7 linked regions of the Oryctolagus cuniculus genome follow. The protein of the gene in region 1 interacts with the protein of each later gene in a pairwise test. Links are inferred from orthologs where the notes say so. Each region holds a gene or a part of one and is shown in the gene's direction. Other genes may lie near its edges. The genes, in order: RUNDC3A, RAP2A, EIF3E, AP1M1, SDCBP, RAP2B and CCNL2.

Evidence for each region.
Region 2: the proteins of RUNDC3A (region 1) and RAP2A interact in binary tests that used the Homo sapiens proteins (3 or more experiments, as listed by UniProt). The link is inferred for Oryctolagus cuniculus from reciprocal best matches to the Homo sapiens genes RUNDC3A and RAP2A.
Region 3: the proteins of RUNDC3A (region 1) and EIF3E interact in binary tests that used the Homo sapiens proteins (3 or more experiments, as listed by UniProt). The two-hybrid records come from large-scale screens. The link is inferred for Oryctolagus cuniculus from reciprocal best matches to the Homo sapiens genes RUNDC3A and EIF3E.
Region 4: the proteins of RUNDC3A (region 1) and AP1M1 interact in binary tests that used the Homo sapiens proteins (3 or more experiments, as listed by UniProt). The two-hybrid records come from large-scale screens. The link is inferred for Oryctolagus cuniculus from reciprocal best matches to the Homo sapiens genes RUNDC3A and AP1M1.
Region 5: the proteins of RUNDC3A (region 1) and SDCBP interact in binary tests that used the Homo sapiens proteins (3 or more experiments, as listed by UniProt). The two-hybrid records come from large-scale screens. The link is inferred for Oryctolagus cuniculus from reciprocal best matches to the Homo sapiens genes RUNDC3A and SDCBP.
Region 6: the proteins of RUNDC3A (region 1) and RAP2B interact in binary tests that used the Homo sapiens proteins (3 or more experiments, as listed by UniProt). The two-hybrid records come from large-scale screens. The link is inferred for Oryctolagus cuniculus from reciprocal best matches to the Homo sapiens genes RUNDC3A and RAP2B.
Region 7: the proteins of RUNDC3A (region 1) and CCNL2 interact in binary tests that used the Homo sapiens proteins (3 or more experiments, as listed by UniProt). The two-hybrid records come from large-scale screens. The link is inferred for Oryctolagus cuniculus from reciprocal best matches to the Homo sapiens genes RUNDC3A and CCNL2.

Annotation. Positions count from the first base shown.
Region 1 is NC_091448.1:18,967,078-18,971,032, reverse strand, and holds the start of RUNDC3A (RUN domain-containing protein 3A), read left to right. Parts: upstream 1-1,155; 5' UTR 1,156-1,422; coding exon 1,423-1,529; intron 1,530-3,955. UniProt on the Homo sapiens protein: May act as an effector of RAP2A in neuronal cells.
Region 2 is NC_091440.1:14,994,598-14,998,097, reverse strand, and holds part of RAP2A (ras-related protein Rap-2a), read left to right. Parts: intron 1-3,314; coding exon 3,315-3,500. UniProt on the Homo sapiens protein: Small GTP-binding protein which cycles between a GDP-bound inactive and a GTP-bound active form. In its active form interacts with and regulates several effectors including MAP4K4, MINK1 and TNIK.
Region 3 is NC_091437.1:133,416,678-133,420,177, reverse strand, and holds the end of EIF3E (eukaryotic translation initiation factor 3 subunit E), read left to right. Parts: intron 1-612; coding exon 613-715; intron 716-1,256; coding exon 1,257-1,391; intron 1,392-3,187; coding exon 3,188-3,226; 3' UTR 3,227-3,371; downstream 3,372-3,500. UniProt on the Homo sapiens protein: Component of the eukaryotic translation initiation factor 3 (eIF-3) complex, which is required for several steps in the initiation of protein synthesis.
Region 4 is NC_091447.1:64,736,438-64,739,937, forward strand, and holds part of AP1M1 (AP-1 complex subunit mu-1), read left to right. Parts: intron 1-1,173; coding exon 1,174-1,304; intron 1,305-1,396; coding exon 1,397-1,544; intron 1,545-3,500. UniProt on the Homo sapiens protein: Subunit of clathrin-associated adaptor protein complex 1 that plays a role in protein sorting in the trans-Golgi network (TGN) and endosomes.
Region 5 is NC_091437.1:83,752,871-83,756,878, forward strand, and holds the start of SDCBP (syntenin-1), read left to right. Parts: upstream 1-1,208; 5' UTR 1,209-1,348; intron 1,349-4,008. Other genes in the region: uncharacterized protein, read right to left, coding at 806-1,143. UniProt on the Homo sapiens protein: Multifunctional adapter protein involved in diverse array of functions including trafficking of transmembrane proteins, neuro and immunomodulation, exosome biogenesis, and tumorigenesis.
Region 6 is NC_091435.1:127,889,249-127,893,441, reverse strand, and holds the start of RAP2B (ras-related protein Rap-2b), read left to right. Parts: upstream 1-1,393; 5' UTR 1,394-1,863; coding exon 1,864-2,415; 3' UTR 2,416-4,193. UniProt on the Homo sapiens protein: Small GTP-binding protein which cycles between a GDP-bound inactive and a GTP-bound active form. Involved in EGFR and CHRM3 signaling pathways through stimulation of PLCE1.
Region 7 is NC_091438.1:164,147,183-164,150,682, forward strand, and holds part of CCNL2 (cyclin-L2), read left to right. Parts: intron 1-228; coding exon 229-322; intron 323-395; coding exon 396-482; intron 483-587; coding exon 588-942; 3' UTR 943-3,500. UniProt on the Homo sapiens protein: Involved in pre-mRNA splicing. May induce cell death, possibly by acting on the transcription and RNA processing of apoptosis-related factors.

The DNA of each region.
Region 1 (3,955 bases):
GCTGCAGACACCTCCCTGGGTACCTGTCTGAGGCAAATGCAGTGGTGGGTAGTGGTAAAATAAACGTATGGTTTTTGGTAAATAAAAAAATGAGTTTGGACCCTTATCTGATAATATATCCAGAAATTAACTCAAAATGGACCAAAGACTTTATGGAGAGTTTATAATTGCATGCATCACAAGACAAATGCAAGAGAGTAAAAAGGTAACCCACAGGAGAGAATATTGATAAAGCACACGTCTGGTAGGGGATTGATAGCTAGTCGATATAGAGAACTAAAACTCAACACCAACGAAAAGCAAGCAACCCAGTTGAAACATGGGCAGTGGCACGGGTTGAACAGAGGAACGGAGCAGGTGGGAGCAGGGACCTGGGGGGCCAGCTTAGGCCTTCCTCTCCCCTCTAGTAAAAGCTGCAACCTGTTTTGCAGGACCCGCCCGGCTTCCAGAGAAGGTTGATGGCATCATCCAGCAATGCTGGCAACCAAGGGGTTAATTGTTGAACCAGCTGGCCCTTGAGGTGGTGAGGGGTTTGGGTGCCACCCTCTCCAGTCGCCTAGGTGCCACCGCGACTGTGGGCGCCAGGAACCTTCGCAGAGCCAGCCCTTAGCTACCAGTCTTCCCCCAGTCTCCGCCCCGGGTGGTTCCCGGCGCTGGGCTGCTACGGCTTCGTTTGCATTCCCATCCTCCAGCCCCGAGGGAAGTTGGCTGCGCCCGGCCCTGAAGACAAGTCCAGCCTGGCCACAGACAGGCCTGGAGATGCGCAGTCCCTCGGTCGGCTCCTTGGCCTCCGGGCTCAGCAAACGCCATCCGGCCGCGCTGAGGACGTCCGGGCAGCCGGTGGGGGCGGGGTCGGGATGCAGGACCTCCACTCCCCAGGTCCCCCGGGGCAGGGGGAGGGGACGAGAGATAGCCATCAGCATCCGTCACAGGTCAGAAGCAGGAAGTAGGTGTCGCAGCCCAGAGAGCGAGCGGAGGACCCCCGGAGGTGGAAGACAGGTCCCCTGTTCCACCCTCGAATCTCCGCATCTCCCGGGGACCCCCTCGGCCCTCCCCGGGGCCCCAGACCTCCCCCTCCCCTCAACCCCTGCACCCTCTGCGGATTGGTCCCCGGCCTGCTGGGGGGCGGGGCCCGAGGGCCCTGACGTCACCGGCCGAGGGGGGCGGGCTGCTGGGGGAGGGGGGGTGACGGGACCGGCTCAGCACCTCGGAGAGCTCCCTCCCCGGCCTTGTTTTGCTTCGGAATCGCCGCCGTGGGAGGGAGCGAGGGGGCCGGGCACCTGGCGCAGAGGCAGAGGGATGGCCGCGGAGGGGTCGATGGGCTCCGGCGGGCTGAGCGCCCAGCCGTGATCCGGCAGGGGGGCCGGGCCCCCGGGAGGGGTGGAGGGCAGAGGGCGGCGGCAGCAGTGGCCGCACATCTGGATGGAAGCGAGCTTTGTCCAGACCACCATGGCTCTGGGGCTGTCCTCCAAGAAAGCGTCTTCCCGGAACGTGGTCGTGGAGCGCAGGAACCTGATCACCGTGTGCAGGTGGGCGCCGCCGGTCGGGGCAGAGGCTGGGCGGGCTGCGGAGCCCGGGCGGAGCGCGGCTGCCGCGGACGGGAGGGGACGAAGGGTTAGGAGGAGCGCACGCACCGCCTCCCCAGGGCCCGGAACCGAGAGGCATGGAAGCCGGTCCTTACTCTTCCCAGCCAGGCCAGGCCTTTGCCCGGCCTAGGGCCTGGAGGTGAGGGGGCTTAATTGGCACTGCAGCTTCCTGTGAACACCAGGAAGTGACATTGCGCGAGGGGGAGGAGTGGGGACGGCTGGCTCCCGGGCTGGGAGCGGGGGCGGACGGGCCGAGGGGCACCCACGGGGGAAGCAGCGCCCTCCGACGCACCCTCATGGCCACCCCCTGTCTGACCTCTCTCCACTGCCACGCGCAAATCCTGGAGGAGACGGCGCCTCCCCTACAACGGCAGCCATTGGCGGGGTCACACTGGGCTTGTGGGCAAAGCCCCCAGGCCCATCCAGTGAAGGGTGAGGGGCACTCCCGGGCTGTGAGGAGAACCCGGGCCTTGGGTCCCCAAGCCTGGTTCAGGCAGAGGAGACTGGGAGGGCAGGGCCGCTGGCCGTGGAGGGTGGGGCTGCCGCAGGATTGGGGAAGATTTGACTGCTTTCTTGGGCCCCGAGAAGGGAGCCTTCAGCCGTGCAGTGACTCACGGTCCTGTCCTGCCAAGGCTGGGAACGGCCAGCGTCTCAGCCCCTCTTCCTACAGTGCACCCATGCTCGTACGCCCCTCTCCCTCTGGGAGCCCCATGCCAGCTGCCTTATCCACCTGCACCCTCTGCCCCCGCTGCTGCCAGCTGGTGCCCTCCCAGAGCAGGGTGCTTGGTGCCCACCTGATGCCAGCACTCCTGGCTCCCACAGCTCCTTCCAGGTTCCTGGGCACACACCCAAGGGTACTGCGTCTGTCTCACACCATCGTACCCCAGTGCCAGGCACAGTGCTGTGTGCATCAGCCCTCTGGGAAAATGCCCGGATGTGATGGGAGGAAGGAGGGCAGCCCAAGTGTAGCCATGGCCTCTGCCCTCATCCTCACAGACCTGGCAGTGTGGAGCCAGACAGTCCTCAGTTCAAGCTCTTTCCTGTTGGCTGTGCAGTCTTGGCGAGGTCTCCTACCCTCTCTGGGCCTTGGGCACCTCATCATCCCCATCGCACCTGCGAGAGCCGCCCCAGGGCGCAGGAGTGGCATGCCTCGGAGGAGCCCTCCCGCACACAGCACCAGCCCTGTCCTGGTGACGCCCTTCCTGCCCCTGTCTCTGCTCTTGACCTCCTAGGTGCCAGGATGGCTGAACCTCTTGCAGGTGTGGGGGAAGGAGGGCTCTGGAGGACCGGAGGGGGCTAGAGCTGGGGGATATCCAGACCCTGACAAAGGCTCAGATGCCCCTCAGGCCTCTGCTGCATGCCTGCCGTCACATGGTTCGCCTCCAGCTCCCAGAACAGTTCCCGTTAGCAGGCCGCAGGCTCCCCTGGGCCCTGGCCTCCTCGTCTCCATGGTAACCCGCAGCAGCCACTGCACCTCCTACCAGGGCGCACACCATGGGGCTCCAGGGCCGTGACCAGCTCCGCAGCAGCCCTCAGGAGTCCAGCAGATGGCTGCCGTGCCAAATCCAGCCCCGGGCCCCCATGGAGGGCTGACCCAGATGACCAAGTGGAAGGAGATGCATCACGAGGCCCAGAAAACGCCCTGCGCACAGGCTGCCTTCCCGTGATGGCCCAGCTCCCTGCCCACCGGCAGAAGGCAGTGGGATCTGAACCAGCGTTAGTGAGGCAGATCCCAGCACCCTGCGTGCACCCAAGGACACAATTTGAATGCAGCAGGCTCCCTCTCCCCAATGCAGCCCTGACCCAGACCTGCCTCTGACCTCAGGCCGGTCCAACTCTAAGCCCACAGCGGGTGGGCTCGGGCTCAGCTATGCCATGGCCTGAGAGCCTTGGAAGCCGGTACTCCAGGGCTGTCACCTTGCAGAGTGCAGTACGGAGGGCAGAGGAGAGCAGGGTGATTGGTGACAGGCATCCGGAGGCCATAAGACATAGCGGCAAGAGCGTAGGCTTGCAAGTCAGATACACCCTGTGAGCTCTGTGGCTCTGGACACAGCAGTTGACCTCTTAGGGCCCCTCAGTTTCCTTATCTGTCAAATGGGGTTAGACAGACCCTGCCTCCCAGGGCCGTATTGCATGCATGGCACATTCCAAGGGGAGAGAAAAAGGACAGTTTCACACAGCTCCCGTATCCTTGGACATCCTGCCCCGCCCCTGCTCTGCCACCCGCGACAGGGCAATGGGGATGGCAGGTGAAGACTGCAGGGGTGGGAACAGCAGAGGGAGCCTCAGGTTTTTCACAAGGTTGGGAGAGGGACAGGGCACGCGTGGTTCCAGCGCCTTGGCCACACCGGCATCCCATGGCTCTCCCC
Region 2 (3,500 bases), on another chromosome or scaffold:
ACATACAGCCCTGTGCTTATACTGGTCTAATTGCCCTTTTGAGACTCACATTGTTGCCAAGATTCAAGTTCTTGATTTAAACAGTGTATTTACAGCTGTTAATAAATTTGTAAGGTTTGAGCATCCACATATGTGATAGATCCTTTGAAAATAGAAGTGTAAGAAATATTTCCTCCTTACTAAGATACTTTGAAAGTTCATAGAAGGCCAAGGTTGTAGCATAGCAGATTAAGCTACCACCTGTGATGGCGGTGTCCCATAGAGGCGCCGGTTTGGGTCCTGGCTGCTTCACTTCCAATCCAGCCCCCTGCTAATGGCCTGGGAAAGCAGCAGATGGCCTTCCACCTCACACATAGCAGACCCAGATGGAGCTCCTGGCTCTTGGCTTTGACCTGGCCCAGTGCTGGCTGTTGCAGCCATCTGGGGAGTGAACCAGTGGATGGAAGATATTTCTCTCTCTCTCTCCAACTCTTTCAAAATGAATAATTCTTTTTTAAAAAAAAAATTCATAAAGGGACTGGTCCTGTGGCATAGAAGGTTAAGTCTCTGCCTGCAGTGCTGGCATCCCACAGGGGTACCCATGGAAGTCCCGCATGCTCTGGTTCCCTGCTAATGTGCCTGGGAAAGCAGTGGAAGGTGGCCCAAGTACTTGGGCCCTTGCCACCCACATGTAAGACCCTGGCTCCTGGCTCTTGGCTTTGGCATGGCCCAGTCCCAGCATTGTAGCCATTTCAGGAGTGAACCAGTGAGCAGAAGATCTCTGTCTCTCCTTCTCTTTCTGTATCTCTGCTTTTGAAATAAATAAAAATCTTTAAATATATATATTTGAAAACTATGGTACCAAACATTAAAAAGTTTATCTTTGTGCAAAAAAATCTTGAAATCCACCCTTTTTTCATAATATATCTTGCATGAACTTTTTGAAGACCCCTTGCTTAATACTATATTTAAACTAAAAAATTTTTCCTTGAAATATTACTCCTTAATAATAGCAAGTGATAGCATATCACTTTCCTTTTAATTGATTTCCTACCTCTTACCTCTTTTGGTCTTTGAATGGTAAACAGAGATTGAAATTAAATTCAACTAGTACAATTTCCCCTTTGTATTCATGTTTATATGAGTAAAATTGACATTTTCAGATTTGATCGTTGTTTACAGCCCTTGTCTTCACCATTGAGGAACAGTGTTTTTTTCTTCTTACTATTTTTGAATTCTTAGTGGCGGGTTAAGCTTATGATTATAAAATAAGCTGAAAGTATGTCATTATAAAAATTAAAAGAATAAGAAAAGGAGGAGAGGAGCAGGAGAGAGGGTAGGGTAGGAAGTACTACTATCCTCCAATATATGTATATATGAAATACATGAAATTTGTTCACTTTATATAAATAAAAAATTATATAAAAAAGTTACTTCACTGCCAAGCAAAGCATACTCTTATGTATATACTCATAAGAAAACTGCAGTGCAGTTACATCTTTGCAAGTAAAACAAGTTAAAAACTGACATTGTTCTGACACAGCCGGCAGTGTAAGCTGGCTGCCAAGCTCCTCTGTACAGCACGTCAAGGGAGCCTGCATGCAAAGTAGCTGCTACATGGTGTTTTATGACACAGCTTCATTTTCACTGCCATTCGCCCTGCCTGAGGCCAGGGGTACACATATTGGTAGGTAAGAGTCCTAGAAGATGTGAAGAACATTTGGGTCCAATGTTCAGAGCTACCAGCATGATCTAAGGCTGAAATCAAAAGGTACAGTTGGTATTCAATAAATTCATGTTGAAGCTGTTTGATAGAAATTAGATCTGTCCAGGTTCATTTGTTTTTGCAAGTGATAATACCCAAAGTCTAGATTTACCCTGGGTGATGTCACTCCCACTCGTCTTTAAGTTGGCATTATGGTTTACATCTAAATGACATACTTCCTGGAGCATGCCCTCACTCACTGGGACCACCATTCTTGGTTTGATGTAGTGTCAAAGGGAAAAGTGAGGTTCTAAGGGGAATAGGATTTGTTGTGCAAGTTAGGTAAGTGAAACCATCTTGACAGGATGAGGGGATTGTTAACTACCTATCTGATCAGCATCCTAAATGCTAACAATGCCATCCAAATCCTGTCTCACCCGACCAAACTCCTAAAACTATCTTTAATGTAAAAATGATAATCTTGGGCAAATATGTTAACTACATTTGTTAGAACAAGTGCAAACAAGAATAGTGAATAAACAAACTAGTTGTTTTTACTCCATGATGTCTGTTGTGCCCATGTGGAGTAACCATTGTGGAGCCCCCATCTTAATGTACCTCAGTGATTTAGGAACTTGTTTTGTTCTTTTCTTCTTACATATTAGCTTTATCAGTGGAGTTTCTTCTAAATATGTTAACTCAGATCAATTTTGGTTAGGAAGAAAAAGAAATAACATCAAATAAAGCTAATGATTAAAGTGTGTGTCATCCTTGTCAGTCTTAAAAGAAACAGTGTCTCTCATCTAGCTAATTTCTAATAGTTTTATAAAGGAATCAAGTGTAGTTATATTTCGTGGTTTCCATCCTTTATGATTTCTACTACTTGTTTAGGAACTTACTAGAACATGATTAGTTTTAGATACTTAAAGAAGGTACTAATATTCTGACAATTGTGTTTGTTTACTTAGAACTATTTATTACATGATCAACTGGGAACTTCAAGTAAACAGCTCTTAGAATGAAAAAAAACTTTAAATGATCCTACAGATTTAGCCTGAAATTCTGAGAATATTTTTCCAAAGGTATCTGAAAAGGCAAATTGCTTTTTAAGGATATATAGGGATGGCACTGTGGCGTAGCGGGTAAAGCCGCTGCCTGCAGTGTGGCATCCCATATGGGCACCAGTTTCCAGTTCCTGTTGTGTCTGCTCCAGTTCTGATCCAGCTCTCTGCCATGGCCTGGGAAAGCAGAAGATGGCCCAAGTCCTTGGGCCCCTGCACCCATGTGGGAGCCCCGGATGAAGCTCCTGGCTCTTGGCTTCAGATCAGCACAGCTCTGGCCGTTGTGGCCAATTGGGGAGTGAACCAGCAGATGGAAGCTCTCTCTCTCTCTCTCTGACTCTCCTTCTCTCTGTGTTAACTCTCACTTTCAAATAAATCTTTTTAAAAAATGTATAAATGAATAGCCTAAAAATGCTCTCAGGTGGGTGTCAGATCAAGGGTGCAAATAGTTGTTCATGCAACTAAAGAGCCCATTTACAGCAGAATATAGTGAAAACTGAACAACATTTTTTCTGTTTTGTTATGTGCTAACTACTACAATATTTGTGTTTCTGTTTCTTTTCTCACAGATATGAGAAAGTGCCAGTCATCTTGGTTGGGAACAAAGTAGACCTGGAGAGTGAGCGAGAAGTATCGTCCAATGAAGGCAGAGCCCTTGCCGAAGAGTGGGGCTGCCCCTTTATGGAGACTTCCGCTAAGAGTAAAACAATGGTGGATGAACTCTTTGCAGAAATTGTGAGACAGATGAACTATGC
Region 3 (3,500 bases), on another chromosome or scaffold:
GCCCTCTTCAATCTGATTATGAATTGGAAAACTATAAAATATGGATTCCAATACCTATTTTAGGTCAGGGTCTTGAGACTGATCTCACACTCTCTCCCTTCCCTCATCCCACATCCTCCCTTCCTGAGTGTGTTTCAGGAGCCATATAGGTTATAGAGTATAATTTATCCCAGAAACTTCCACAGCAGTCATGAGTTTCAGTGAGGTTTTTCACTAGATGCTGATGCTCCTTGTAGAAGGTTTACTTTGTTTGTATATAATCATTATATGTCATATAATCATTATATATCATAAAATATTTTCTTCCTTACATTACTTGTTGAGCACCTGCCAAGTGTAAGGTACTATTCTAGAAGCTGGAAGGGTTTCCATAAATGCAGAACATGATACCTTTCCTATAGGGATTTATTATGTGGTGAAGTAGAATAGGTTATGGACAGTCCAAGACAATATAAGTATGAACAATGCGGATAGTCATGATATGTAATAGAAGATGACCTAGAAATAACTACAAGTCTGAGTGCAGAATATGGATCAAACACTGTGTACCAAAAAGTAACTCTTAGGGCCCATTTAACTTTTTTTTTTTTTTTTTTTTTTTTTTTTAATTAGTATGTTGGCAGATAAACTGAACATGACTCCAGAAGAAGCTGAAAGGTGGATTGTGAATTTGATTAGGAATGCAAGACTGGATGCCAAGATTGATTCCAAATTAGTAAGTATTATATTAATTTTGTTTCATCCTTCTGGGAGTTTTAAATTAGAACATTTTCTTCAATTAAGAGTTTAATATGTCATATTTTTAGGCAGCAGCAATAACCTCCCATTTTTCCTTAACTGGATAAATGGTGTCATCCCTATAAAAATAGGTAAAATGTGTGCCATAGTGTTGTTAGGTCATACTCATGACTTATTACTATTACAAGGCACAGGGGTGGGTGTTATGGCACAGTGCGTCAAACTTCTGCTTGGGGCACTCGCATTCTATGTTGGAATGCCTGAGATTCCAATAAGCTTTCTGCTAGTGCACCTGGGAGGCAGCAGATGATGTTTCAAGTACTTGACTTACCACCCATGTGGGGATGTCAGCATGGAGTTCTTGGTTCCTGAATTCACTCATGGGCATTTGTGGAGTGGACCGGTGGCTGGAAGATCTCTGTCTCTCCCTCTCTTATGTCACTCTGCTTTTCCAATAAATAAATCAACAAAACTTCAAAAAGCATAATAAAAGACTAATTTTGCTGTTTTCATTTTAGGGCCACGTGGTTATGGGAAACAATGCAGTCTCACCCTATCAGCAAGTGATTGAAAAGACCAAAAGCCTTTCTTTTAGAAGCCAGATGTTGGCCATGAATATTGAGAAGAAACTTAATCAGAATAGTAGGTCAGAGGTAAGAATCACAGATTTTGATTCTGTCTGGAATTTAGCAATAGTGTAACATAATTGTTACTTGAACTCCATTTGAGAACATCTTACTATTCATTGTATCTGTCTTTGTATTTCTACTTAAGAGAATGAATGTTTTATGTAAGAAATGACTAAATGCAATTTTTTCCTGTATTTATTATATACATTAGTCAGGAAACTGGGGAAAAATTATGTTCCTAGTTAAACTATTTTTCTTTTCTTTTACTCTTCCTGTGTGATTTCATTAACTAATATCCAGGGTTTTCAACATACAATTTTGACATTGGCAAGTGATAATTTTCATGTGTAGTCCTCTTCTGAGTCTATGATAAGTGTTATGCTCTTTAAATCTCAAAGATAGTTCTGCGGGGCTGCATTTTGGCACGGAAAGTTAAGCTGCTGCCTCAGAAGACCACTTCCCATATCAGAGAGCCAGGGTTTGAGTCCTGCCTGTGGTTCCAATTCAGCTTCCTTCTGTTTACTCTGGGAGGCAGCAGTTAATTGCTGTAGTTCTTGGGCCCCTGTTGGAATCATTTCAGTAGTGAACTAGCAGATGAAAATAGAAGATCTCTCTGTGTCTGTGTGTCGTGCCTTTCAAATAAGTTAAAATAAAAACCCCAAAAATAACCATTAGCCCCCTGTATTGGTAGTGAGCCCGGTTAGGTGTTGAAGGAACTTGAATGTACCTGTAATTTTGGAGTCCAAAAACCATCTTTAATTCTCTTTAGACATGATTATGTGTAACTGGAGAATAGGAAGGCATGAGAAGCAGTTATGGGACATTCAGTGGCCTTACTAGATTAAATTTTAGGGGCTGGGTTGTCCTTAGCTTAGTCCTTTAGCTTTAAAAGAGAAGGATGAATTAGAATAGGAATTTCATTTCCCAGCCAAGGCCAAGAATAGCTGAGCCTGGAAAATTACTTTTATATTGTATTTTTCTATATATAACATTATCCATTATTGTTCCAATGTTTGTGTTTCTCTTTTTAATTGGGCAGACCTGTATCAGTTGACTTTTTTTTAATATAGGTTTATTTTATTTATTTGAAAGGCAGTTAGAGAGAGGAAGAGAGAGAGACTGAGAGAAATCTTCCATCTGCTGGTTCACGCCTCAGATGGCTGTAACGGCCAGTGCTGGACCAGGCCAGAACTTCATCTGGGTCTTTCACACGGGTACAGGGAACCAAGACTGGCAATCCTCCACTTCCCTCCCAGGCATATTAGCAGGGAGCTGGATTGGAATTAGGGCAACCGGGACTCCAACTAGCATCCTTATGGAATATGGTGTTACAGGCAGCAGCTTAACCCACTGTGCCAAAACACCAACCCTGAATTTTTGTTGTTTTTTTAAGATTTATCTATTTATTTAAAAGTCAGGGTTAGAAGCAGGGTGGGGTCTTTCACTCACTGGTTCACTTCCCAAGAGTGGCCAGGGTTGAGCCAGGCCGAAGCCAGGAGCTTTATGTGGTCTCCTCTGTGGGTGGAGTGAGTCCAAGCACTTGGCCATCTTCTACTGCTTTTCCCAGGCCATTGACAGGGAACTGGAGCAGCCAGGACATGAACTGGTGCCCATGTGGGATACCTGCTAATGCCACAACACAGGCCCCAGTATCAGGTGACATTTTGACGGGGCAACTCATATTAAGTGATTGCAAAGTGAAAGCCTTAAAGCAGCTTGGCAGTAGTAGTGCTAAAGTATGTGTTATGTCACTTTTTTCTGTATTGGCTGTTTTGGAAAGTATTTTTCTTTCACCCTGTCGGTTTCTCTACATATTTTAGGCTCCTAACTGGGCAACTCAAGACTCTGGCTTCTACTGAAGAACTGTAATGAAAAGATGAAAAAAACTACAAAATAAAGATGAAATAATGGAACCATTGTATAAAGAGTGACATACATTTTAGAAATGACATATTGAATATAAATTTTGGAGAATTTGAATAAAATTGGCCATGGTTTATTTTATTTTGATGTGAATGTCCTTGTGTGTCAAATTTTTTTTTATTTTAGAATAGTAATATATTCATAGGAAGTTGTAAAAATAGTAGAGGGGTCCCCCTTTGTTCACCTCATTTTACTCAATAGCACAGTACA
Region 4 (3,500 bases), on another chromosome or scaffold:
GGGGCACCAGGCCCACGCCGGGCCGGGGAGGCTTCCATCCCTCAGCCGGTGCCGCCCGTGCAGAGGCCTGGACCGGGAGGGTGTGGGGGCCTCGGTCTCGGAGCTATGCTCCTGTCCCAGGTCTCTGCACAGAGATCCAGGTGGTCAGAGCCCTGTCCCTCCTCCCTGCCCTGCCCCCGCTCACTGTCCATTCAGAGGGAGCCGCATCTGTGTACAGCTGCCGAGCAGCCTTGAGAGTCCACAGAAAATGTGTGATGAAAAAACTGGGGCCGGCGCCATACCACAGTGGGTACGGCCACCACCTGCTTCCCATATGGACACAGGTTCGAGTCCCGGCTGCTCCACTTCCGACCCAGCTCCCTGCTGAAGCCCCTGGGAAAGCAGCACATAGTCCTGGGAACCCTGCCACCCACGCAGGAGGCCTGGATGCGGAGCTCCTGGCTCCTGCCTTCAGCCTGGCCCAGCCCAAACCATTGCAGCCACTGGGGGAGTGAACCAGCTGATGGAAGACCTTGCTGTCTCTAACTCTGCCTTTCAAATAAACTTAAAAAAATTAAAAAAAAAAAAAAACAGGAAAAAAGTATGCATGGATTTCAAAAACCTCTTGTACCCAAATGAACCTCTTTTAATTCCGTTTTAATTTTTAAAACTATTAATTTGAGAGGCAGAACTCCCATGCAATGGTTCAGTCCCCCAGATGCCCACAGTGGCCAGGACTGGGCCAGAACCAGAACCAGGAGCTCTAAGGAGGCCCAGTTAGCTGGGCCCGCTGCCTCCCAGGGTCTGCCTTAGCCACACCCTGGAATTAGGAGCCAGAGCCAGGAATCAAAGCAGTATTGGATCTGGGTGGCTTAATTCCCGGGCAGAACGGGCAGCCCTGGTTCTGTTTCTGCCGCGAACTTTTTCAAATACCTCCTGGTAGCCTGGCAGCTCAGGGTGGGGCTGGAGGCAGCCCCCACCAAGTCCCTGCTGGCCCCAGTCTGGAGGAGATGCTGAGGAGGGGCCCCAGGCCTGGTGCTGTCTGGCAGGGGAGAGTGATTGGGCTTTGGACTGGGCCTGCGAGGACCTCCAGCCTACATGTCCCAGCCCAGGGCCCCGGCTCAGCCCCGGGAGGCGGGCAGGGCCAAGGGACCGGCGCTCACCTGCTGTCCCGGTTGCCGGCTGCTGCTGCAGGTGTTCTCCGAGTACTTCAAGGAGCTGGAGGAGGAGAGCATCCGGGACAACTTCGTCATCATCTACGAGCTGCTGGATGAGCTCATGGACTTCGGCTACCCCCAGACCACCGACAGCAAGATCCTGCAGGAGTGAGTGGGCGCCGGGGAGGGGGAGGGGGTGGGAGAGCAGGTGGGGCCTCTTCCCCGTGCCCCTGCCTGACCCCGAGCCCGTGGCCCCACAGGTACATCACGCAGGAAGGCCACAAGCTGGAAACGGGGGCCCCGCGGCCCCCCGCCACCGTCACCAATGCAGTGTCCTGGCGGTCGGAGGGCATCAAGTACCGGAAGAACGAGGTCTTCCTGGATGTCATTGAGTCCGTCAACCTCCTGGTAGGCGTCCGTCTGTCCATCTGTGCATCTTTGAGAGTGTCCTCTTCTCCGTGATGGCAACAGACACAAGCAGGATGGTGCAGCCAGCGAAGCCCTGGGGGCCAGGCGGTCCCCTGCGAAGCAGATCAGCCCCTGTGGCCGGCAGCTGGTTTTAGTGTCTCCCACCAGCACTGAGCGCCAGCACGCGTGTCACCACGTGGTCGCTCCCTGTTCCCTGTCTCTTCCCACAAAGCCCGGTCACAGGACGGCCCTCCCTCACAGCTTGTTTTCTGTTTTGTGCGTGGTTAGGTTTCTCTTTCTTTTATTTTACATTTTATTTACTTACTTAAGAGGTGGAGTTACAGAGAGTGGGAGAGACAGAGAGAGAGAGAGAGAGAGGTCTTCCATCCGCTGGTTCACTCCCCAGATGGCTTAACGGCCGGAGCTGTGCCGATCCAAAGCCAGGAGCCAGGAGCTGCTTCCGGGTCTCCCATGCAGGTGCAGGGGCCCAAGGACTTGGGCCGTTTTCTACTGCTTTCCCAGGCCACAGCAGAGAGCTGGACAGGAAGTGGAGCAGCCGGGACTCGAACCAGCGCCCATATGGGATGCCGGCAGTGCACCTGGGGGCTTTGCCCGCTCCGCCTGAGCGCAGGTCCCTGCCTTTGTTTCCCTTCTGAGTCTCTACTCATGCAGACATGGGTGCTGATTCCCCTGACCTGGACATAGAACCTCCACACGTGGTCTCTGCTGCCCCCTCAGGGCTGAGCAGGCCAAAACCCGGAGCCAGGAGCTCCATCTGGGTCTCCCACATGGGTGCAGGGGCCCAGGGACTTGAGCCACCTTTTGCTGCTTTCCCAGGTCATTAGCAAGGAACTGCATTGGCAGTGGCACAGCTGAGACTACAACCAGCGCCCATATGGGACGCAGGCGCTGGAGACCGCAGGTTTACCCGCTGTGCCACAGCGCCGGCCCCCTGCTGAATTTTGATTGGTATTGCGTACACGTCACGTCTGTAGATCAGTCTGGTGAACTTCGGCATTTCCATCGTGTCACGTTTCCCAGTCCGAGACCCTGTCAGTCTGTTGTGGGGTGGGGTGGGGGTGTACGTGGCTGTAGACGGCCAGGTGCTACGTCAGTGTTTGGGTGAGTGACCGCATGTATGACAGTGGTCCCAGGAGAACCTACAGCCTGGGCAGGGCTCGCCGTCTCAGTTTCTGTGCTGGTCACACAGTGAGAGAGTCGCCCTGTACGTGTGCTGTCCGGTGTGTGCGGGAGCTGTTTCCATTTCTGAAGCTGTTGTCAGTTGTCTATTCTTAATTTCATCCTCCAGTTGGACGTCACAAGGGTATAGGAATGTGACTGCTCTCTGTGTTGACTGTAGCCTTGCTACACTCACTCATCTGAGGGGTGTTTTGTTGTTGTCATTGTTTTAGATTTATTCCCCTAGGGGCCGACGGTGTGGTGTGGCAGGTTGACTTCCGCCTGCAGCGCCAGCATCCCGTACGGCGCTGGTTTGAGACCCTGCTGCCCGATTTCCCATCCGGTTCCCTGCTCACTGCCTGGGAAGGCAGCGGAGGATGGTTCAAGTGCTTGGGCCCCTTCCCCACGTGGGAGACCCGGAAGAAGCTCCTGGCTTCGGCCTGGCCCAGTCCCGGCCATTGTGGCCATTTGGGGAGTGAACCAGCAAATGGAAGATCTCGCTCTCCCTCTCCCCCTCTCTCCCTCTCCTCTTCTCTCCCTCTCCTCCTCTCGCCCCTCCCCCTCTCCCTCTTTGTAACTCTGCCTTTCAAATAAATAAACACGAGCTCGTTCATTTGAAAGGCAGAGTTGGAGAGTGGGAAGCTGGCGGTCACGTCGGGTGTCTTCCTGCACTGTCGATGTGCGTGCCGCGATGGTTTTCCCAGCCCCACACTCCTGGAACGGCCCTGGCTGGTCTCGGTTTCCTCTTCTTCCCCTGCGTCCCTGGGCCTCAGACCA
Region 5 (4,008 bases), on another chromosome or scaffold:
AGGTCAGGAGCGCCACTGACCAACCGCGGACTGGGATGTGAGCTGATTATACGCCTCTCAGCTCCAATTTCAGTCTACGAGAACCTTCACCTCTAAGTGCTTGAGAGCCTGGAAATTGAGCAACAGCTTGTCCAGCTCCTCGCGCTGCACTTAGCAGTACATACCTATTTTCATCTGCCACCCCAATGTCAGTGGTTGGCTTTCTGCGTATCAGGCAAGCGGACCCAGGTTTGGGGGTTCTATAGCAACTTCGGGGTTGTTCAGCAACATACCCTGCAGCTTTGCTACAGTTGTTTATTAGCTTGTGTGTATGAGTCAGTTCTTAGGAATTTTATCACAATCATGTTAAAAAAAAAAAGTGTTCCCTTCCCAAGCTACTGTGTGATTGTTTTTAAATGTTTTTCACATCAGCTAAACTATAAGCTCCCCAAGGGCAACTTTATTACAGGTCATCACTTCTGTGCCCAGATTTTTATTAGTTACCAATAAACTTCTTGTAAATTAATGATATTTTGTCAAGGGCTCTGGTATTTCAAAGTAACTGATTACTCTGCAATGGGTCGTTGGTACCTATCTTACAGTTCGATGTAAAGATTAAATAAGATTATATACATTAAGTTCTTGGAATAATGCCTAGCTCATAGCACTCAAGAAACGCTAGTTTTTAAGTTTTTGTGTTAGGCTACAGCTATCATTGCACAATATTACACCTCTTTAACAACAAACGTTAAAAGTAATAAAAGCCCAAACAAAAAACCCAGATAAATGGGGCAGGAGTTAAGAAAGGGTCTTGGGAGGAGTTTACCAGCAGGGTACTGTGACTGCTGGACAGCAGTGACGGAAGCCGGAAGCTGGGCAAGGAAAACCTTCCAAGAGGAAGGCTGGCTTCTCGGTACCTCTTTGTATTAGAAGCCAACCAGGTGACCGCAGGCGGGGGAACGCACGCAGTGAGCGGGTCCCGAGGTCTCCTTGAGCATAAGGCGACGGGACCGCAGAGGGCAGACTGGGCATCCTCGCTGGGCAGTCTGGCGCCCCCGACGGTGGGCGGTGCGGGCGGCCAGACGTTTGTGACCCTTGGAACCCCAGAAGAGAGCCCCCCACGCTCCGCCCCCGTTTCCATGGCCCCGCCCCACCCCCCGCCATCCGGTTTCCACGGGGACCGGATCACCTGACCCGGCGCCGTGCGCCTGCGCGGGCCCGAGGCCCCGTGGGGGGGGGGGCGGTGCCGTGACGCGCCTGGCGGGCGGTCCTCGGGCGCGCGCCGCTCTCGTTTTCTCGGGTCTCGGAAGTCGGCATCAGTGATCGAGGCGGCGGCGGCGGCGGCGGCGAGCGAGTCCTTGTGGTCTAGGTGAGCAGCTTTTGGGAACGAGGGGGAGACGTCCGCGCGACACCTCGGGCTCGGGGGACAAGGGACGTGGACCGCTCGGGCCACTTAACGGAAAGCGCCCCCGTCACAGCGGTTTTCGGGAGGCGGCGGAGGCAGGACGCCCGCTCTTCGGGGGGCTTGCGCGTCCTTCCCTGCCCCCAGCTGGGCCTGAGGAGGGAAGTTTCGGGAGCGGCGCGCTCCGTCGGAGTCGGGGTCCCGCCGGACCGCGGGTGGGGTGGACGGAACCCCGAGGCCCCCGCTCTTGGCGGCGCCCGCAGCCCCGCGCGGCTCTGGGCTCTCTTTCCGGGACGGGTTTCTGGACCCTTGTTGTTCCTCGAGAGAGGGGCTCCGGAGGTGGGTGAAGAAGGAGCCGCTGGGCACGGAGCCTCCCGGTGCTCGGCGTTCCTGGGGCTGTACTCAGTCACCTTCCTCGGTGGCTCGCCAGGAACGCCCGGGCTCCGGGAGGGGAGAGGGCGGTGTTTGTTCCGCGGGCGAAGCCTTGACTTTGTGGAGGGGGTGGGGAAGCGGTCGCGGCTCCGCGCCGGGTGCTGGAGAAGTTGGAGCCGAGGGAAGAACGTTTCCAGTGGGGTGTGTTCGGAAGGAAACACGCGTATTTCCTTTGAGATCTGGTGACTCAGAGCTTTCGTTTCGGGATTTCCTTGGAATAATGGGGAAGTGCAGGCAGTGTGGATATGGAAACTTTTTCCTTTCACCGCGCTGGGATTACGGAATCATTAGCGTCTTCTGTTGTGTGATTTTTGAAAGGACCTTCTAGGGTTACCTGGTTTGACTGTATTCTATGCTTAAAAATTTACCAGGTTTTTTTTTCTTTTTCTTCCCGTTAAGGACGTTACTTAGAAAGTACATTCAGTTTACCAAATTCTTAAACATCCATTTGTTTTAAAGAGAAAACTGTTGGATTAAAAAGGGAAAGTCGAAACGCAGCTGCAGGCCTTCTAATTAGATTGATTTCTAAAAGTCTGTGTGATCAATGAGAACTCAAATTTGTCTAATCTGGTCAGTTTCCTATTTTGAAGTTTAGTGCAAATAGAAAAAAAAATTGTTTTCACCTAATCTGTTACTCAGCTCTGTAAACTTTAGTGCCTTAAAGGGTACATAAACCAAGTGGTTTGGGTTACAGAATAAACAAAAGGAAATGACGTTTAAAAAGTTAAGTGAATGGTCACCTCATCCTAGTTCAAATTTAACTCTGGCAACATTAATTTTAGTTGTTTTGGGTATTATAAGAAACTATAAAAATCAGGAACGAAGGGGAAATAATTTGCTGATGGTTGACACTTGAATGTACTTAAAACAGTTCTTTGAAATGAAGAGTTACTCAACTATTTGTTTTTCCTGTTTTTTTGAGTTTGGGGAACTTTTTAAAGGTAAATGCCAAAAGACTGTGAAAAGACTCCCCCAAGCAACTTTGAAAGAGTTCCTACACCTGATAGTTATATTGTCATTTATTTCTTTCCAAGTGCTGCCAACTTTTTTTTTTTTAATTTATTTCCTCGTTGAGGAGGTAGGCAGTCACTGACTCAGGACTGCCACAGTTAAAACAGTATCCGGTTTAAAAATCTCCTGTTTGTGTCGTCTAGCCAACCGTATTACTTTATGATAGGCTGTCCGCTGTTTTCAGTTTCTTGGATTTCGTCCAGAGATTTTATTCCTGTGCAGGCGAATGTCCAAATATATTTCTTTCCTTTCAATGAGCCAATTAAAATACTTTATATACTGCTGTACATCATGCATTTATTTTCCAATCAAAGTATTTTGGAACTCTTAGTTTTGTGCATGTTGCTTCCTTTGTGCAAATGTATATTTAGGCTGAAGACTTGAAGTTATATGACCGGGTGGGAGGGAATCTGAATTTATAATTTTCATAGATACCGGGCACCCATTGTTCATGAAAATTGTGTGTTTTTTTTTTTACACTCCCCAAACTGGTGATGCATAGGTGTTTCTCAAAGCCTTGCATCAGCAAGTGTTGTTAAACTGGGTTTTTGCTAGTCCTGTAAGTCAGAATGGGAACTTCCTGTGGCTGGATTGCTCAATGGCTGATCTGCAGAATCCCCCTGGATATTTGTTAAAAAGAAGAGTTCTTAAGTCCATTCCATGAAATCTGTGTCAGCCTGGGAAGCTATTTTTAACTAATGCCCCAGGTGATTCTAATCTGATGATTGGCCAAGTTTGGGAAACAGTCTCTGGAAGATTGTTTAGGGCTTTATCAAGTATTGCTTCTCTGCCTTTTGGCCAAGTGTAGGACTTCGTTAACTGTGTTCCTCAATACCAATGGGAACTATACTGAATCTTACCCTCAGCATGCTAGAAATCATCATCATCACTTTTTACCGTCTAAGGCCAGTGAACACGTTTTACATTTTTATGCCATTTCATGAATTTGTCTAAGTGAAAGGAGATAATACTGTTTTAGAAATTTTGATAATTTAATTGTAAAAATGTTAAATTTTCTTGGTTTTGAAGATAAATGGACAGCATTTTTTTTTAATTATTTATTTGAGAGGTAGAGTTACAGACTGAGAGGGAGAGACAGAGAGAAAGGTCTTCCATACACTGGTTCACTCCCGGAATGGCCGCAATGGCTGGAGCTGAGCTGATCGGAAGCCAGGAGCCAGAGC
Region 6 (4,193 bases), on another chromosome or scaffold:
CTGCTGCCTGCCCACGCCCTCGCCCTCGCCCTCGCCCTGGGGCGCAGCTGCCAAGGCCAAGTCTGCTGGGCAGGTCCCGACACCTCTGCTCGGCCGGGCATCGCGCAGGCTCGGGGCAGGTCGAGGCAGCTCCCCAGCTCCTCCCAGGAGCGGGGACGCGAGCCGAGCCCAGTCCAGCAACTGCGCGCCCGACAGCGAGGATGCTAGGGAAAAGGCAAGCCAGGGCAGCCCCCCTAGCCCTCCAGCGCCCGTTGCTCATCGCAGCCCCGCCGCCCTCGCTGCGGAGCCCTGGCAAACTTTGCAGGTCCTCGCGCGCGGGCCACTGTCACCAGCCCCTTCTGCACCCTGGACGGGACAGTCGTGACCGGGCGAGTCAGACGCTCTCGAAAACAGCCACAAAGGGCTATATTTAGTTCTGCGCACCCCGCCTAAATTCCTTTTTTCACTCTCCGCTTCCAAACGACTGGGTTGGGGTGGGGGAGTGGGAGGAAGGGGGCGGGGAGCCGCGGAGAAGGAACAGCTGGGCCTCCACCTCGCCGCTCAATCTCTATAAATACCCAATCGCCGGCGGAGGCTACTTTTCAGCCAATGAGGCAGCCGCACCGGAGAGACCCTTGGCGGCAGCCAATGGGAGGCCCTTCGGGGGTGTGCGACTCACGTCCTGGGACCAATGAGTGCGGAGTCTGGGAGAAGTAATTTGAGCTGGCGTGTGGGTGTGAGCTGCACCAAGCTTCCTACTTCCAAGCCCCAAAAAACCTGCTCTGCCGACTGAGCATGCCCTAACTGCGGGCCGCCGGCACTGTCAGATCCGGGCTCCGGGTTTTGGCCGCAGCACAGTGGGGGAGGAGGTGGGCGGGACCCTCTGGGACTCTGCTGGGATGGAGCCGCGGGTTCCCCAGAAGCTGTTTGTTCTCGGATGGGGACAGTGACCCAAGGCACTAGAGTTACACCCCGTTCGCTCTGTCCCGGGAACTGGCGGAGCAGCGTTTCCGGGGACAACGGCTTACCAAGGGCTTTGCCAGGGCTTCGGGGGCTGCTCTGCCCAGCCCGCACCTGCAGCGGTCCGGTCCGCGGTCCGCGCTTCTGGCGGCCTGCACCGGCCTTTGGTCATGGGATTCCGCAAGCGCGCTCTCTTGGCTCGCCGGGCCTTAGCGCTCGCGTTCGAGCACGCCAAGCCCCTCTGCCGCCCCATTCCCCCGCAGTGTGCCTGCTGCAGTCCCACAAGCTCGCGTCGCCCCGCCTCCACTCCCGGCGACTCCGCTCGCAAGCCCCGCCCCCAGCCCCGCCCTCTCGGCTCGGCCCCGCAGAAAACCCGGAGCGGCCGCTCGGGCGGGGCGCGGCCTGCGGCGCACTGGGCATGCTCGCGCGGGCGGGGAGGGCCGGGCTGCGCGCGGCGAGTAGGAAGCCCTCGCCCCGCGGAGGCTGCAGGCGAGAGCGCGATGGGCCGCGGTGGTGGGCGCACGTTCCGCGGGGACTCATGCCACGAGTGTCCCGGTCCGGCGCGCAATTAGCAGCCGCCTCCGCAGCCCGCCACCACCGCTGCCCAGCGCTCGCCGGCTGCTGCGACGAGGGGCTGCAGCCGTCGCCGTGCCTTAGGCTGCCGGCATTGTCCTCTGGTCCGCCGCCGACCGCTGCGGGGCCCCGGACCCGCGCCCCAGGGACGCGCCGCCGCCGCCGCCGCCGGCCGGCCGGGCGCGCGGCCCCCGCTCGGAGATCCGCGCGCCCCGCGCCGCTCGGCCGCGGTCTCCCGGGTGTCTCCTGCGGCGCTGAGGCGGCGGAGCGGTCCGGCCGCCCAGCCCAGCCCTCCGCGGCGCGCAGCCCCGACGGGGCCGCGGCGGGCGCCTGGCGAGTGCTGACGGAGCCATGAGAGAGTACAAAGTGGTGGTGCTGGGCTCGGGCGGCGTGGGCAAGTCCGCGCTCACCGTGCAGTTCGTGACGGGCTCCTTCATCGAGAAGTACGACCCCACCATCGAGGACTTCTACCGCAAGGAGATCGAGGTGGACTCGTCGCCGTCGGTGCTGGAGATCCTGGACACGGCGGGCACCGAGCAGTTCGCGTCCATGCGGGACCTGTACATCAAGAACGGCCAGGGCTTCATCCTCGTCTACAGCCTCGTCAACCAGCAGAGCTTCCAGGACATCAAGCCCATGCGGGACCAGATCATCCGCGTGAAGCGGTACGAGCGCGTGCCCATGATCCTGGTGGGCAACAAGGTGGACCTGGAAGGCGAGCGCGAGGTCTCGTACGGCGAGGGCAAGGCCCTGGCCGAGGAGTGGAGCTGCCCCTTCATGGAGACGTCGGCCAAAAACAAAGCCTCGGTGGACGAGCTGTTCGCCGAGATCGTGCGGCAGATGAACTACGCGGCGCAGCCCAACGGCGACGAGGGCTGCTGCTCGGCCTGCGTGATCCTCTGAGGCGCCGCGGCCGCCACGCGCCCCCCGGGCCGCGCTCCGCGCACAAAAGCCAAACGCACCGACTCTCCCCGTGGGATTTCTCGTCCGGCTTTGAGATGGGAGACGACTTTGCAGTGGCCAGGGCGTCCCCAGGAGCCTCCCCCCCTCCCCCCCACGCTGGCCTCCACGCCCCGTGTCCGAGGGAGCGCCCCGTCCTGCCCAGCCGACACCGTGGTGGAAATTGGGGCTCTTTGCAGCATGTACGTTCCTCATTGATTTTGGTTGACGCCCGTTTCCTCCCCCCTCCCCCCTCCCCCGAAGGCGCAGTTATTGGCAGTCTGACACCCACCCGGCAAGCAAAAGTTTCAGCCTGGAAAAAGATGGGGGAAGGGGGGAAGGGAAGGAAGTGCCGGGGAAGGAGGAGGAGGGGGTGTCCGTTTTTGTGTGTGTGTGTGTTGGGGGGGTAACAACAACTGTTTTCTATTTCCAAGTTTTAAATACGTGGAAGGAAGTCCGGGAGAACCATATGAAGGAGCAAGGAGGAGGAAGAAACTTTTGTGTGTGTTTGTGTGTGTGTGTGTTTTTCCCTTGTTTTCCAGGAGTAGCTGGAATTTAAGATCGGGTTCCTTTTCTGCCAGCTTGGAAGGGCGACCCTGTGACTGATTGCGATTCTGAGGATGTCTATGCAAAGTTGGATTCTTGTTACAGTGTATCCAATCTGAAGTATTGCACATCTGAACTGGGACTGTTAACACTGATGCCAATACAGTGTGGGGTGCCAGAAAGTGTCTGCTGATATTTGTGGAAAAAAAAAATCTATTTTGTTTACCTACTGTATCAAAGGGGAGCCTGGGGGAGAATGGTAGTATTTTTTTTTATCAGCTGTGAAAAAAAATGTTACAGATCTGCACATTTTCTTGTGTACTATTTGTGTGTGTGTGTGTGCGCGCGCGTGTGTGTTTTATAAATTTAGCTTTTAGGTTTTTCTTTCTTTCTTTTTTTTTTTTTTTTTTTTTTTTTTTGGTTGGCAGTAACAGATTTTAATGACTTGCTTTTACAAATACAGTACCAGGACTTTGTCAATGTGATTCAGGGCCCCCAGCACCCCTGTGTCTGCAGAGTGCCTTCAAAACTCAGCTGTTCCAGCCGGTGCCAACCTGTGAACTTCCCATCATACCCCAGAATCTGCTATCCCCCAACCACTTCTCAGTTTCCTTTCAGTAATCTTCCTGAAGGAGCCAGGACAATAGGACCTGTTGTTCAGTGAATTTCTTTATTATTTTCAGCCTTTAAAATGTAATTGCCATGTTTTGCAATGGGTTTCTTTTTTTTGTTTTGTTTTCTTGGCTTCATTTTGTTCCAATGTTCAGGTATTTAGCTCCTTTTTTATATTATTTTTACTTTTTTTAATTATCTGTTATAGGGTGTACCTCCAGAAGCAAAGAGCAAAATTTTACTGTTGTGATGTACCAAGGGAATTCTAATTGTAATTTTTAATTCCATGTGTTTCATCATTGTCTCTTCGTTTTAAGACTTTTAATACAAATGTCATTTTAAAAGAAACAAACCCAGAATTATTGTTTGTGTTTCTGTGTTTCGTATTCAACGATTTAATGCAGTGTCATGGCTGAGTTGGACAGGTATAGGTGCATGATGCTCTCCAGAGTTGTTTGCCAAAATTTGAAGCTTGGTGACAAGCTGGTGATGTTACTTCTCACTTAAATAGGGAGGAGATCTGCCAGGTGTAGGAAGCCCTGGGTCTGGCCAGGTCACCTGACTGCCTGAGGAGCAGTTGTGCT
Region 7 (3,500 bases), on another chromosome or scaffold:
GGGTGGGCGTCCCGGCGGTGGCTCGGTGCAGCACGGTGCCCCCGCTGAAGGGCTCGTCACTGGCGCCACAGGTTGATGCTGGCAGTCAGGACGCCCACGGCCCGAGGGGAGCCGGTGCGCATGTGTGAGCACGCACGCACGCACGCACCCGTCCAGGCTGGCAGCGGCTGCGCTGAGCTGCTTCCTCGGAGCAGTTTTCTGAGTGGTTCTCATTGTGCTTGACCCCAGTGGAATCCCCCAAGGAAGCCAAAGGGAACCAACCCTCCCCGCCGCCCGTCAAGGACACCAAGAGGAGAGCCAAGGCCGACAGCCCGGTGAACGGGTAAGGGGCGGGGCCGCCGGTGCGCGGGGCCGGCCGCGGGCGCCGTCTGCAGCCGCTGCACTGCCGTTCACAGCTTGCCCAAGGCGCGCGGGAGCCGGAGCCGGAGCCCGGGGCAGAGCTGCTCGCCGTCCCCCTCCCGGTCCACGTCCCCGAAGAGGAGGTGCGTGCCCGGCCCGTGGGTGGGAGTCCCCCAGGGTGGCTGGAGGTGCTGTGGGAGCCCTGGCCGGGTCCGGCGGTCACACGGGTGGAGTGTGCCCTTCCTCAGGAAAAGTGACAGCGGCTCCACGTCCGGCGGGTCCAAGTCTCAGAGCCGCTCCCGGAGCCGCAGCGACTCGCCGCCCCGGCAGGCGCCCCGCAGCGCCCCCTGCAGGAGCTCCGAGGCGCGGGGCCCTCGGAAGCCCAAGGACTGCAAGTGCCCCCCCCAGAAGCCACGCAAGTCTCGGAGCCGCAGCTCCTCCCGCTCGCGAAGCCGCTCACGGGAGCGGGCAGAAAACTCTGGCAAATACAAGAAGAAAAGTCGTTACTACCGAGATGAGCGGCGGGAGCGCTCGCGGTCGTACGAGCGCACAGGCCGTCGCCACGATCGGGGCCGCCCCGGGCACAGCCGGCACCGGAGGTGAGGCAGACCCGGACCTGCCCAGGCCCTCGGCTCCAGCGGCCTGAGCGCGGTTCTGGTTGGAAATGGTCTTTGATGCTGGACCTTGAGGTGAACCTGGACATGGCATTGAGGAGCCGGGTGGCGCCCCTGTGCAAGGCCCACCTCGGCCGGACCCCACGGGCAGCTCAGCAGAAGAGCAGGGCGCAGGGCCCTGTGGGTGTGGCTTGGTGCTAACGTCTGGCTGTCCCCCTCCTGACCCGAGGCCCGGTGGCGACTCCCGGAGAGCGGCTCTCGGGCCCCTGTCTGCAGTGTTGGGGTGAGGCATCGGCCTTAGCCCCTCGGGCTCAGCACGCGGTGGACAGGCGTGTGGCACACAGGTCAGAGCCTCGTGTGGACGCTCACTCGGAACCCGGACTGGGCCGGCTGAGCGCTGGCCCACGTGGGGCATCCTGATCTTTAAGACGAGAAGGTACTTGGCTCCGTGTGGAGCCGTCTGTTTTTATCTGCAGTGCTGAGTGCGGGCACCAGCTCCTCGAGTTTGCTACGTGTGGATGGATAGACTACTCAGGACATGCGGACACTGAAGACTGGCCGCCGACATGCTGGCCTGTCCAGTTGGCCCAGCTGGCTTCCACTCAAGGGCCGTGGCAGCTGCTGCCCGACTCCCTGCTCATTAAAGTGTTGGCTTTGTCCTGAGCCGTCCTGTGCCTGTGCCGCTGCTCGGCCGTGGGCGGCAGCTGAGGCCCCGACGGAAGTGCTCCGAGGTCCAGGAGTCGCAGCCTGGCTCTCCCCATGGCACCTTGGTGGTCGCCTCCCAGGACGCACCTCTGAGCAGTGGCCCCAGGGGCCTGGGGGGCAGCGGTGGGACCACTGCCCTGGGATCGGGTGCAGGGCCGCGGCAGCAGGCCCTGGGGAGTGCCAGGAGGAACGAGGCAGCCCAGGGAAGGGCCGGCGGTCTCCGTGTCATGGTCCTGGCAGGCACGGCACCAGGGAGCGTGGCTCCACACGCCGGGAGCACAACACGGGTGGCCCACCCCGGGGGCCCTGGGCAGGCAGCCTGTGCACCGAGGCACGTCTGCGGGGCGGCCATCCTGCGGACCCTGGACACTGCTGCTTGGCTCCCGCTCCCTCCCTCAGCTCCACCCGCCGGCTGCCTCCACTCCTGGCCTGGGCTCCTAGGCTTGCGTGCGGCCTGGCTGGGGGCCCTGTGGGTCGGGGTCCAGGCCCTGAGCAGGCTGCTTCGCAGCCCCAGTGAGCCGGCTTCCTGCTGCCCTGTGGGAGCTCCCGGGCTGGCCGACAGCACCTGGGCCGGGGCCCCCAGTTAGCTCCTGCAGTCGCCTCTTCCCACCGCTGCTGATGCGGGGGGGCCCGGGGAGCACCCCGAAAGCCGAGCCTGGCTGTGCCTTTCCACACTGCTCAGCGAGGCTGCGGGCACCGGTGTGTGCAGGGGGAGGGGGGGGCCCACCGGCCAGGGCCTGCAGGGGAGGGGCCAGGCTTGGGGCTCTGCCGCCCACGTGGGAGCCTCAGCTGGAGTTCTGGCTGTTGCGGCCATGTGAGGAGCGACCCAGCGGATGGAAGGCTGCTCTGCCTTTCAAATAAACGTTTATAAAAGATGATACGGGGGACCGGCGCCGCGGCTCACTTGGCTGATCCTCCACCTGCGGCGAGGGCACCCCGGGTTCTAGTCCAGTTGCCCCTCTTCCAGGCCAGCTCTCTGCTGTGGCCCGGGAGTGCAGTGGAGGATGGCCCAGGTGCTTGGGCCCTGCACCCGCATGGGAGACCAGGAGGAAGCACCTGGCTCCTGGCTTCAGATCAGTGCGATGCGCCAGCCGCGGCGGCCATTGGAGGGTGAACCAATGGCAAAAGGAAGACCTTTCTGTCTACCTCTGCCTGACAAATAAATAAAAGATACAGGGTAAGCCTCGCCACATGGCCGCCGTTTCGAGTCCCGGCGGCTCCACTTCTGATCCAGCTCCCTCTAACGCGGCCGGGACCCCGCACCCGCGTGCGAGACCCGGAAGAGGCTCCCGGCTGCGGATCGGCCAGGCCCTGGCCACTGTGGCCACTTCGGGAATGAAGCAGGGGATGGAAGATCTCTAACTCTGCCTCTCAAATATTTTTTTTAACAATTCTTTTATTTCTTTTATTTTTTTGACAGCAGAGTGGACAGTGAGAGAGACACAGAGAGAAAGGTCTTCCTTTTGCCGTTGGTTCACCTTCCAATGGCCGCCGCGGCTGGCGCATCGCACTGATCCGAAGCCAGGAGCCAGGTGCTTCTCCTGGTCTCCCATGGGGTGCAGGGCCCAAGCACCTGGGCCATCCTCCACTGCACTCCCGGGCCTCAGCAGAGAGCTGGCCTGGAAGAGGGGCAACCGGGACAGAATCGGGTGCCCCGACCGGGACTAGAACCCGGTGTGCCGGCGCAGCTGGGCGGAGGATTAGCCTAGTGAGCCGCGGCGCCGGCCCGCCTCTCAAATATTTTAAAGATTATACTGAAGACAAAGGAAATACTCCTGCCGGAGCCCGCATGGCGGCCGGGAGCCGCCGTCACCCTCCCTCCACGCAGGACTTCCCCGCGGC